3 linked regions of the Bombyx mori genome follow. Each later gene encodes a partner of the first gene's protein in a complex. Links are inferred from orthologs where the notes say so. Each region holds a gene or a part of one and is shown in the gene's direction. Other genes may lie near its edges.

Region 1 (3,665 bases):
CGTTTCGGTTTGAAGGGTGGGGCAGCCGTTGCCCTGTAAAAACGAAGTCAGTCTCATATCTCGAGGTAGGTCACGGCATTTACGTTGTAAGTGTCTATGAGCCCCGGTAAACACTTAACACGAGGTGGGCCGTGAGCTCGTCCACTCATCTTAGCGATAAAGTTTTTTTCCAAAACAAGAAGTTATATTTCGGTTGCGTAATTCGATTATCTAACAACTCAAAATTCACAAAATATAAATATATTTTTTATTTAAATATTTATTGCAGAAGTGTCGTCCGGCGGTGTCATTCGCCAAAGCTGACGGTAGTGCATGCTGTAACATTCTGGTCCAGCGAGATATTTCGGGACACCAGCAGCAACGCCTGATGCGGCCTGAATGACTGCCGCACCGGAACGGCTGACATAGTGTCGTCGACTATCATCTCTACCCCTTCTACTCTGTCCGAGTTTTGAACCCCTATATAGATCGGACGTCGGGTGAGAGAGTTCCAGGGAGGTCGTTTGGTGGATAGGGCCCCATAAACATCCTTGATCTCATGGTCTACTCCTAAAATCTGCAGACCGTGAAATCCCATATGCCCCACGCATCCCCTAGGGGCAGACACCTCGTATGAGGTTTGGCACCCTGTCCGAAAAGTCGAGTTCATATTGGACTCATAAGCTATTTATCACAAGGTAGGCAGTGAGCTCGTTCAACCACCTAATCATAAAGAATAAAGAATATTTATAATTTTAATCACACATACATATTGTTGATATATATATTATTATATACTCTTGATACACCCTCTTTAGAATCAAATAAATTAGGTGCTGTATCAGCATGTTCATCTAAGCATGCAAAGGCAATAAATTAAAAGATACATGACGTTTAATTTTGTTTATTTTATAGGTTATTGACTTTACAAGAATTATGGAATAATTTTCACGCATATTAGTGACTTTTGATTGTTCGAAATACCCTAAATATATAATATATGTCTTAATGTGTATTAAGAGCAGAACAAAGATTTGCCTGAAATTTCAACCATTGCAATATTTTGTCGTCTTTTTTGAAATGCAAAATCATATTATCGATCAAGATAATTATTAAAAGGCAACGATTTTAAATCGTTAAATCGAGTATACTATTAGAAGTTTCCCTTTGCGAATGATACAAAAAGTCAAGGCTGACAATGACAAACGAGACGTCACATTGACAATATTAAGTCAACAAACTTTAACCTCCTGAAGAATGCATATCAAAATAATATTACGGAGTAGAATTTAACGTAATGATTAGGAATATAATACGTACCGGCCGGTGGCTGGTGCGGCTGCAAATCAATAGTCTCGCCCCCATCGCGATACGAAAAAGCAGTAGTATACTAAAAGACTTCAGACTGAATGTTAGTTGTGGTTTTAATAACCGAAGATTATCTGATAATATCCGCAATGAAGAGGAACCTCTAGTATTTGAAGAGGCTTGCAACGAGACCTTAGAGTCGCTGTGTGATTTTTTTGAGCAGTTAATCGAAGATGCACCGAATTTGAAAGGAGCTGACGTAACATACAGCGTAAGTTAAATTTTCAATGTGGGTAACTACATACTTAACCACTTCTTACTTAATAATTTCTTTAAAGTGGACATTATAAAACCTTTTGCAAAAACTTTAGTTGTGAGAGAAACTGAATCCAATAATAAAAGGTGGAATTGAATGAAACAAATGCTTAAGTTAACATAAAATTTAATATTTAAAGTATGCTCTTCCTAAATTCCAGTTGTAACTTAAAATATTCTTTTCAAAGCGTAATGTTACTACACCATATTAACAGTCAATAATTTAAAAGAGTAACCTTATTTTCTTATTACATGTAATTTTCTGTGCGCACAAAGATTAAAGTATTTGAAACATAAAGAGTAAAGTAAAATAAACTAAATAAATACTGTTCTATACTGTTAAAACAGTTTAATTAATATTAAATATTAAAAACGGATAAAGTCTGTCTATATTTTTTATGGTCATCTTATCTGGTTATAAGAGTAGAACAGTAACAATTCTGATAGCATTTGAGACATAGACTTTTTTTTTGTATGCAGATAGGCATGTGGCCCACCTGATGGTGAGTGGTTACCATCGCTTATGGAAGTCAGCAATGCCAGAAGTAGAGCCAAGCTGCTGCCTACCATTATCTACCCTCCACAAGCCTCGTTTGAATAAGGATATGTTGTAGGGCTTGGGAAACACCGTGGAGTAAAGCTCATTCGAAAGCCGGATGGTACCTGGCAAAAAAGATCTCAGGAAACGCATTGTGGATGAATGCAGTGGGTCTACATCTCAAGGAATGTATTTTGTGGGATTTAATTAACATTTAATAACTGGATTGACTGTCAACTTGTCTACTACTCTAGAGCAAAAAGCAAAAAGAGGCAAAATTACATTCCAACAACATATCTTGTTGTAAGATATGCTTGCTATGTTCAATGTGACAGTTTTAAAGATTTGTCTTTAAAACAGTACAGTACAGTCTGGGCAAACCCAGACTGATAATGATAATGAGTAATGATAATATAAAAGCCCTAAACATTTCTGCCTCTTAATTCTTTCTTAGAAATAAAATAATCCATGTTTCAGGATGGTGTATTAACCATATCATTAGGAAAGCACGGGACATATGTGATAAACCGGCAGATACCAAATAAACAGATTTGGTTGAGCTCCCCCACGTCTGGACCAAAGCGCTATGACTTAGTTCTCGAGGGAGGAGGCTACTGGATCTACAAACACGATGGAGTCACACTCCACAAACTCCTGCAACAAGAAATATCAGTGATAGTTAAAGATAAAGTTGATTTATCAAAGTGCTCACACAGCTTAGTTTGAAGTTCATAAGAAATAAGAACATAGTGTGTATACTTTAGCATAAGCTTTGCTTTAGTTTCAAACATTAACTGAGGCAATCTCCTTAGATTTGGTTTGATTTCAGTTTTTATTTTATTTTAAATATACAGTTGTTTTTTTTATTATTGATTTTTTTATTTTATTTGATAATGGAAGTTATTGAGGATGGAAATATTATTGATAGGATCCCAATTTTGTTGCAAAGAGATTTGGAGTATTATCAGGTTGGTTTATCCAAAGTTTTTATTCAAATTAATAATAACATAACATTAATAATAACGTAATCAAAATTTCATAATAAAAAGCTAACTCAATTTTATGTACTAAATACTACTCAAATGGGTAAATGTCTTATTTATACACATATAAAATACTAAAATAATGACTACATCAACAGGCTTAGCTTTTTATCTGATTTCAAAATTGGTTCAAAATTTATTTAGGTTAATGTTAGTCAAGCTGCAGCTGTCTGCTTATAAATAAGTATTAAATTTCCAAAAAAATCAGAATTTAATTATGGTATCTTAAAATAATTTCTGTATAATTAAATAAGGGAAGTAAATATGTCTTTGTTTAAGAAGTTAATTATTTGTTAACATATACATATATAGTTATACATATTAGGATAAAATTTCGTTAAATTAATAAAAGCATGATACTAAAAAATTTGCTTAAAAACTGAGAAACCATGTTTTGCAATAGCAAGTAGGATAAATGCAATTGATCCTTAAACTTCAGGTGCCGATATTTTATTTATTTGGGTGTTTTCAGAAAAACCAAA
Region 2 (4,218 bases), on another chromosome or scaffold:
TTTTCATTTAATCTAGTACTTTTTGGCATAACGGATAAATTCCCCCTTTCATCGAATGGATTGTAACTATTTAATTTTCATTCTTTTCGTTACCGTTCGTGCCGTGAGCATAGTGTGATAGACTAGTGGGAATTCCTTCATTGAGAATTTTTATAATCGAGCTTAAAATGAAACATAAATATACATAAGGATATCGCGACGTCCCATTCATCACGATACCTTGTAGTCGCAGCACAAAACCTGCAAATTGTTGACAAAGAAAATAGGGAATTAAAGTTAGATGTTTCCGTGTCTAATTTATTGTCAACTTCTAGTTCGACGTCTGAAACTTTTATGGTGGATAAATTTTGGAGTGAAGTCAGCCAAATCTGTCAGCCAAAGTAGAAAGAATAATTTCTGATTAATATCCTATTAATATAGGATTAAAAATCAAGATCGAAATCGATTTAATAATAAGAATGTTGCTGCAATACCTAATGCATGAAAAAGAGGGGCTATGACAGTTGATGTCACACATTTGATCCTGACAGAAGTACAAGATATCAATGGACTCAAAACAACTTTTTTTTTTTAAGGTATTTTATGACCTGGTAACTAAGACCTTTAGGTCAAGTCTTATTTTAATTTTAATGATACGTAACTTTTATAAATGAAAATGATATTATAAAATGAAATGAAGTTGATTATGATGAAACATGGCATAAAGTGAAATGAAAACGAAATGAAATGACATGAGATGAGATGATATGGGATGAAGTATAATCTCAGTAAAATGGTGGTCATTTACTGAGACTTTTTCAGTGGACTTTTTGGAAGATCCCGAGAAGTTACGTTCAGTGGCTTTGTTTTATTTTCCCAAATTTGTGCACTTTCACAGATACTAAACAGTTAATAAACCACCGCTATTACACGTTTAAATCTGAAGAAACACTAACTAGACAAAATAAAACAAATCACACAACTTCACTCCTCACGTTCCCGCCAAAAGTCCACTCAAAACAACTTTATGCAAATGTTACCCAACCTAAAGACGAAAATTATATTTTTAATTAGAATTTAATTTAAACAAGAACATTGTCTCTTTAATTAATTGTGGTTTCTTTTTATTATTTTATTGTTTATTGTTAAATTATATTTTATTGTTAAATTAAAATAATTAATTGTTATATACACATAACAATATTTCACAATTTACATTGTAACACGACAGTAAAAAAAGTATAATAGATTTTTAGTATTTCTCTTTCTCTTTTGGTAGAATTCAGTAGATTTTAACCTCCACAAGCAGTAGATTCATCAAATGAAATCTGGTCACACTGCCCTGACAACAAGTGTCAATAGTCTATAAGGTCTTGTAACCGTTGGCCGTAAATAAATTAAAAAAAAAAACAAATGTCAATCACACGATTGAATCATATGAATGAATGATATGAATTCGAAATTATTTTAGTCAAGACTCTGGTTAAGAATTGCTTGTTTTTAAACTTGCAAAATTGTTTAATTTATTTCATTCAAAATGTTCCGTTTGACAAAAAACGTGATTTCGGTGGTTTGTAAATCCGCAATAAAACAGAAAACCCAATTAAATGGAAACGGCGTTGTTATATTTGAGCAAAGCAATTTTTTTTCCGATTCTGGTAAACTACCATGATTTAATTAGTATTATACCTACTTATTTTTGTATCTAATTTCTATGTTCTAAGGTTTAAGTTAATAGTGTATATTCAATGTCATAATATTATACAAAGTTACGCTATATTATTGATTTTTACCCTATCAACAAAATGTGCTAATCATTTACATCACAATTGCCACAATTTTTTGAGTAAACATGGAATATTATACATTACGTGTCAACTTCCCACATCAAATACATTTGTTATTCAATAAACATTTACTGCAAAATTTAATTTTGTTGCAAATTTATTATAAAAAGTTAAAATCAGTACATGTTTCAGCAAATGACAAATTTTCATTAAAACATGAGGAAGTTGGCCGGCCTTTGTATTTCGATGCTCAAGCCACTACACCAATGGTAAGTAGAACATGATACGAAAATTTTACATTTATTCATATCACTTATGAATGGAGATTTAAGTGCAATTAACTTCAGGATCCTAGAGTTCTTGATGTAATGCTACCATACTTAGTAAGTTATCATGGCAATCCACATTCAAGAACTCATGCGTATGGATGGGAAAGTGAAGCTGCTGTTGAAAAAGCCAGAGAACAAGTGGCAAATTTAATAAATGCTGAACCAAAAGAAATTATATTTACTTCAGGAGCAACAGAATCAAATAACATATCTGTTAAAGGTGTGGGTCGATTTTATGCACCAAGAAAAAAGCATGTCATTACTACTCAAATTGTAAGTTTTTAATTATTTTTATTCAAAAAAGTCCTTTAGTAGTAGAAATTTCTATAATAAACATTATATTTTTAACTCACTGCATAAATTATAATAGCTAAGTAAAAGATTGATTCATAGCCATTAGAATGAACTTATCGACACTTGAAAGGCAAACGTGACTAAGCGACAATGCGTGAACTTTACAGTAGACTAATTTAAAGTTGAAATACCCGAAAAAAATTATATTTTAATGAATCTAGCTGTAGGATTGAAATGAATTTAATAGACCTAGAAATATATATTTTTTGCACATCGAATATGGTTATTGCCTATCATTCATATTATTATAGACATAGGCCTCATACAAAGCAGTTATTGTCGCTTAGTCACATTTGCCTTTCAAGCGTCGTTATTTATTATTTATTTCAGTCGTTGTAATTTTCATTTAGTCTGTCTATTAACACAAGTTTACACTTACACTATAGTCACAAGATTACATTGTTGCTTTTTTTTTTTCAAAAATTATATTTTGGTAATAATGGAGTTTTTATTCTTCAGGAACACAAATGTGTTTTAGACTCATGTCGTGCTTTAGAAGGTGAAGGTTTCAGAATTACATATTTACCAGTCCAACAGAATGGAATTATAAATTTAAAGGATTTGGAAGATGCCATCACGCCAGAAACCAGTTTGGTATCTATAATGACTGTCAATAATGAAATAGGTTTGTAAACATGTAAACTTTTTTCATTATGTGCTATTGTGATTTGTAATCTCTGTAATGTTTATATTTTTTTGTTAATTTGTTATATATTAATAACCTTTCAACTTTAAATATATTGTGTGATATGATAGCAAGGAACATTAATAAACTAATTTAACCTCAAGATCCAAAAATTTGTTGACATTGTCTTATCATCATTAACTTGTAATATTTTATAATTTAACAGTAATGTAAATAAATTATAAACTTTATCTGACCTTGCAATAAAATAAAATTGTTTGACAATTTGCATTATCATAAAAGTTTAATATTTCATTCAAAGTAACATCAATTACTCCCCTCGAGACATGATATTGCTGTCTCACTTCAATTGTATGGTGGTCTCAAGCTTCAAACTTAATGCATAACGGCTCTGTACCAGAAATTGGCAGGGTAATATCAACTACTTATGTGGGATTATATTTTTTTAATATTCAGTATTACAGGCCTCCTAGAGGCTCAGTCACAGTTTTACAATCCATACATTTGAGATGAGTCTGAATCCATTGATTTCAGACGACCCCTAGCCCTTGGGTAGGTACTTACGCTATCAAATACAAAATTCCAAGACTTGTAATATATGTAATTATTACAATCATTTATTTATAAGTACATACCTAATTACATTACATGTGTTGTGCTGCCAGATAGTTACATGTCACTTTATTATTGGGTGTTTTCAGATTTATATTATTAAATTTAATTAAGTATTATATTTGCATTCCGATCTTATAAATTTTTGAGGGAAACAGGAGCATAGCTGTGATTTAAATTTTACTTTACTTACTATGTTAATTAAGTAATTTCTCTAAAATATTGTCTCCAACAAATGAGTGGAAAATTCTGTCTTAAATGGTTTTCTAGTTCATTACATCATTAGATTGGCTGTTTCAATGTTTAAGCTTGTTTACATTTTTTGTAACTTCTATTGAAAGATGATATTTGGTAAGGTAACACAAAATTATAGAAATAAACTTAGCTCCTTACTATACTTGAGACCTGAGAACATATCTCAAGGTGGGTGGCGCATTTACGTTGTAGATGTCTATGGGCTCCAGTAACCACTTCACATCAGGTGGGCTGTGAGCTCGTCCACCCATCTAAG
Region 3 (4,169 bases), on another chromosome or scaffold:
AAAATAAGCACAAGTAAAAAGTAGTTAATAACTGAAGTTTTTAAGAATACATTATTAACTTTGATAATTCCATCTCATGTCTTTCTCAGTTGTTTAGGGTTTACAGACTCCTTAAAATGTCAACGAATGTTAATTTTAATAAATAATAGTTTAATGCAACTTCTATATAAAAGAACCAGTAAGATTTAATACATTTCAATTAATTTTAATTACCTGTAAGACAATACAGGACTCTCATCGCTGTGCACGTGATATCTTTCCTCATCATGCCAATTCTTGTGCGATGGTGAATATTCCATGAACTGAAATCAATAATTTAGTAGCCAGGATGGCAGATGGCTCATGGTTGCCTGTTTTAATCAGCAACCACAGGGGCCACACAAGAAATCAGAATATAAAGAGCACAAGATTCCTTGAGATATGAGGATTGAATTACAAATACATTAATATTAAACTACTTCTTATATAATTACTTTACTTTTTTACTATGGATAATATTTAATTTAATTTCCATTGCAACTTAATTAATGATATTCAATTTTCATCATTAATTTGTTTTTTATTATTATAGTATCTGTTTAGAATTTTAGATTTTAACCTGATAATTATTTCAATGACCAAGCGAAATAGTCTCTTTATTTCTTTTTAGTTTTGAAAATTGTTTTTAAAAATTAAAGTTAATATTAGGCATTTCATGGTATGTAATATTTGTGTTACATGGTATGTAAATTGTATTCCTTTGCTAACTTTCATAACTTGACATAACACATATTAAGTGATTTACATACAAAACATGTTTAGTAATCATCTTCCGCTAAGTTACACAACAAAATGTGCAGGCAAGTGAATTTTTAAAAATGGTCTAGAAATCCTAACTTCTTTGACAAAAATATGACAATTTTCTTCGCTAGTCTTGTAAACAAAGTACTTTTGTTGTTTGTTTCCTTTGGATAATTTGGTTAAAATAATTTAAATTTCATCAAACTTTTAACTCACTGTTTAATTTAGTAAGTACCTATATATGTCTTAGAATGACGGCTGACGAGCATAACAATATTTGAATTTGTAATTATCAGATCGCAAATGTTATTAAAACATCGGGAATGTCAAATCAGATGTTACTGACGTTAGACCAAATTGACAATGTACACTTTTCGGTATCCTGTAGTGTAGCTAGACAAAGGCTACTTAAATTTACATCCTTACTAGTGTAAATTGTGACTAATAATCAAAGTCGAATTGAAACTTCTACCCAGACGCGAAACTTACGAATTTACCTTCTTTTACATTTATTATCACAATTCAAAAGTTTTGCACGATAAATTTATTTTATAACAAATAAAGGTTTAACACCGTGTAATACGGAACGTCTAATTTTTGTTTACATAAAAAAACTGGAGTGTAATGTCATAACTGGTCATAACAATTCGTAAGACAAATATCATTGGGTATTACCTTTTATCAATATATTATAGTTTTTAATAAGCTTGTCGAATAATAAAGCGAAATGTCTGGCGCGATACCTAAAATACAAATATTATCTCTCTATAAATTGCTTCTCAGAGAATCCCAGAAGTTCCCTAACTATAATTTCAGGTAATGTTTTGCACCATTATATAACCTAAAACAAATGAAAGATTTACTCCAACGTTACTAGTGAACACAAAAGCATAATTTTGTTACCTTCTTAAATTACAAACAAAGTCAATACATTTTTAATTTTGTCATGATATGTGGCTACCAAATTCTATTAGGCTTAAGTAAATGTATTTACTGGTGGTAGGACGTCTTCAGAGTCCGCACGGGTAGGTACCACCACTCCGCCTATTTCTGCCATGAATCAGTAATGCGTTTCGGTTTGAAGGGGCTGGGGCAGCCATTGTAACTATACTGAGACCTTAGACTTTATATCTCAAGGTGGGTGGCGGCCTTTACATTGTTGATGTCTATGTGCTCCGGTAACCACTTAACACCAGGTGGGCTGTGAGCTCGTCCACCCTTGCTATAAAAAAAAAGCGAAAAAAATGAATTTCAACGCAATCAAAAATTATCAAGCTTGTTTGGAATCAATTATTTGGATAATAATTGAAATGAGTCAGGTAAATGGAATGATGAATGTGATATTAATGCACTTCATTAATATTAATTACTCATTATGATAAGTAATCAACGAGTTTAAATTAGCACTGTGAGGGGCATATAGCTCATAGAAAAAATGGTCACTATTGCAACTCTACACCAAAATCTGTAGTACAAGTAATCCTTCCAGAAGGTAGACCCACAGTATGTTGAAGTTGTGAGAATCTGTCAGATTTGAACAGCTTAGGATCAGTCACTGTGGTGAAGCTTGAGGATGGCCTATGTCCAGTAAAATTATGTAGACTGATGATGATGCTATAAATGATTATCATTTTCATGCATTTAAATTGTTATTTTAGTTTTTTAGGCGGACAAGACACATTTTAAGCAAACTTAATTAGATAATTAAATAAAAAAATCAGCCTCAATTAATAACTACAGCATCAGAGTTACAGTAATTAAAATGAACGAGATTTTCAAAGCCTCAATAAATTATGAATTAATTAATCAACAATTTATCAAAAAATGCTAAATTTTAACCATTCATCCTTTCAGAGCATACGCACTAAGAAGAATTCGAGATGCTTTTAAAGATAATAAAAATGTGTCTGATGTTAAGATTGTGAAGAAAGAGTTTGAATTTGGAAAAGAAAATTTAAATGTTATCAGGAGACAGGTGTGTGAATATGTTTCATTTATGTTATCAAACACATGTGATAATTAGCTTATATTTTATTTAGAAAAGTATTATATTTATATCTTGGTTTCCTTTATATCACATCAGTTAAGTGGTAACGGTAGTCTATAAACATTACAATGGGAAATCTGCCACCTTTTGCTTTTTACAATTTGTCCTTAGTCTTATTGCAGTGCATTTTGCAGTGTTGGTCTTCAGGAGCAGGAAAGGAGAACCAATTTTCTAAAATTTCTATTAATGAAAATAAAGTATACTTCATCCCTACTGTGATGGGTTTGAAATGTTGATTTGATCAAAATATTAAACAACTGATCTTTTTCTCATTCAAATAAGAAAATGTGGTTGCCGAGCTGAGCTGAGAGAGCTGGGAGAGATTATGGTACCAATCTATTCAGGCTCACTCTGGTAGTTTTCCAATTACAGCACAAGAGCTCATTATGCGGCATAATGCTCAACGTTGAATGTTCCAACTGCAGCAACTCGAAGCACAATTGAGCACTCTCAAAAGTACTGCTCTCGCGTGATACTCGCAATCGATACCGACTCAGTGACAGAAAATTGACAAGTGTTTTTTCTTTAAGTTGGCATTGATCGAAATTTTGTTTATATTATCGTTAGTAATATTATTTAATGTTGAAAAAAATTGTAAGGCTTTCGTTTCGTCGTAGTTTCTTAGAAATAATCAATGTTAATTAAGACTGTGCTAACTTAGCGCACTCTGCTGATGCATTTCAAAACTAATTCACGTTCCAATTAAGCTTCAGCATAATTTGGCATTGTGCGTCACTGAGTCGCATTATGCTCTGTAATTGGAAAACTACCACTACACCCCACCTCTGATCTAACTGCACTAAAAGGTTAAACTATTGTGATTAATTCATATATGAAATCATCTTGTTTTACAGGCAGCCATTGGAAATATGTATAAAACAGAAAAACTTGTTATCGAAAATCTGCGGTAGCTTCATGTTTATAATTGTATATTATTATGAAACATCTGTAATGTATAATGTACATTTGACTAATAAATAGTATAATGCAGAGTTTTTTATTCAAATTAAATCTGTAGGGGTCTCAGAACTTTCATTTAAATAATTATAATTGGTTTTGTTACTAAAAGTACAATTAAATGTATATGTGGTATGCATATACACAGGTATGCATCATAAAATAATTTAACCTAATCGAATGGGAGAAGGTGTGATAATTAAAGATGATAATCTAACTTTTTTGGAAATACTGGAAATAGGCTGTGTGCTGATGTTGACTTGCAGTTATTATAAATTAGACTCTTTCCGAGGTCCGTATATAAGGTACTAAAGAGTTTAGCAGAGAATGGCCAGTAATGGCATTTACTGATGATAAGGAGTAACGTCAGTTCCACATTGCCTAT

Evidence for each region. Proteins that work in one complex are often made in the same cells at the same time.
Region 2: frataxin homolog, mitochondrial (region 1) and cysteine desulfurase, mitochondrial share a complex: the UniProt entries of both Drosophila melanogaster proteins name them as parts of the mitochondrial core iron-sulfur cluster (ISC) assembly complex. The link is inferred for Bombyx mori from reciprocal best matches to the Drosophila melanogaster genes fh and Nfs1.
Region 3: frataxin homolog, mitochondrial (region 1) and LYR motif-containing protein 4 share a complex: the UniProt entries of both Drosophila melanogaster proteins name them as parts of the mitochondrial core iron-sulfur cluster (ISC) assembly complex. The link is inferred for Bombyx mori from reciprocal best matches to the Drosophila melanogaster genes fh and bcn92.

The regions. Positions count from the first base shown.
Region 1 is NC_085115.1:238,704-242,368, forward strand, and holds frataxin homolog, mitochondrial, read left to right. Parts: upstream 1-1,176; 5' UTR 1,177-1,276; coding exon 1,277-1,558; intron 1,559-2,617; coding exon 2,618-2,866; 3' UTR 2,867-3,009; downstream 3,010-3,665. Other genes in the region: uncharacterized protein LOC134199323, read left to right, coding at 3,034-3,108, 3,656-3,665. UniProt on the Drosophila melanogaster protein: Promotes the biosynthesis of heme as well as the assembly and repair of iron-sulfur clusters by delivering Fe(2+) to proteins involved in these pathways.
Region 2 is NC_085110.1:10,989,633-10,993,850, reverse strand, and holds the start of cysteine desulfurase, mitochondrial, read left to right. Parts: upstream 1-1,321; 5' UTR 1,322-1,516; coding exon 1,517-1,637; intron 1,638-1,958; coding exon 1,959-2,035; intron 2,036-2,113; coding exon 2,114-2,368; intron 2,369-2,908; coding exon 2,909-3,074; intron 3,075-4,218. UniProt on the Drosophila melanogaster protein: Catalyzes the removal of elemental sulfur from cysteine to produce alanine. It supplies the inorganic sulfur for iron-sulfur (Fe-S) clusters.
Region 3 is NC_085108.1:8,216,995-8,221,163, reverse strand, and holds LYR motif-containing protein 4, read left to right. Parts: upstream 1-1,272; 5' UTR 1,273-1,507; coding exon 1,508-1,596; intron 1,597-2,634; coding exon 2,635-2,755; intron 2,756-3,681; coding exon 3,682-3,738; 3' UTR 3,739-3,819; downstream 3,820-4,169. Other genes in the region: uncharacterized protein LOC101737726, read right to left, coding at 214-299. UniProt on the Drosophila melanogaster protein: Stabilizing factor of the core iron-sulfur cluster (ISC) assembly complex that regulates the stability and cysteine desulfurase activity of Nfs1 and participates in the [2Fe-2S] clusters assembly on the scaffolding protein IscU.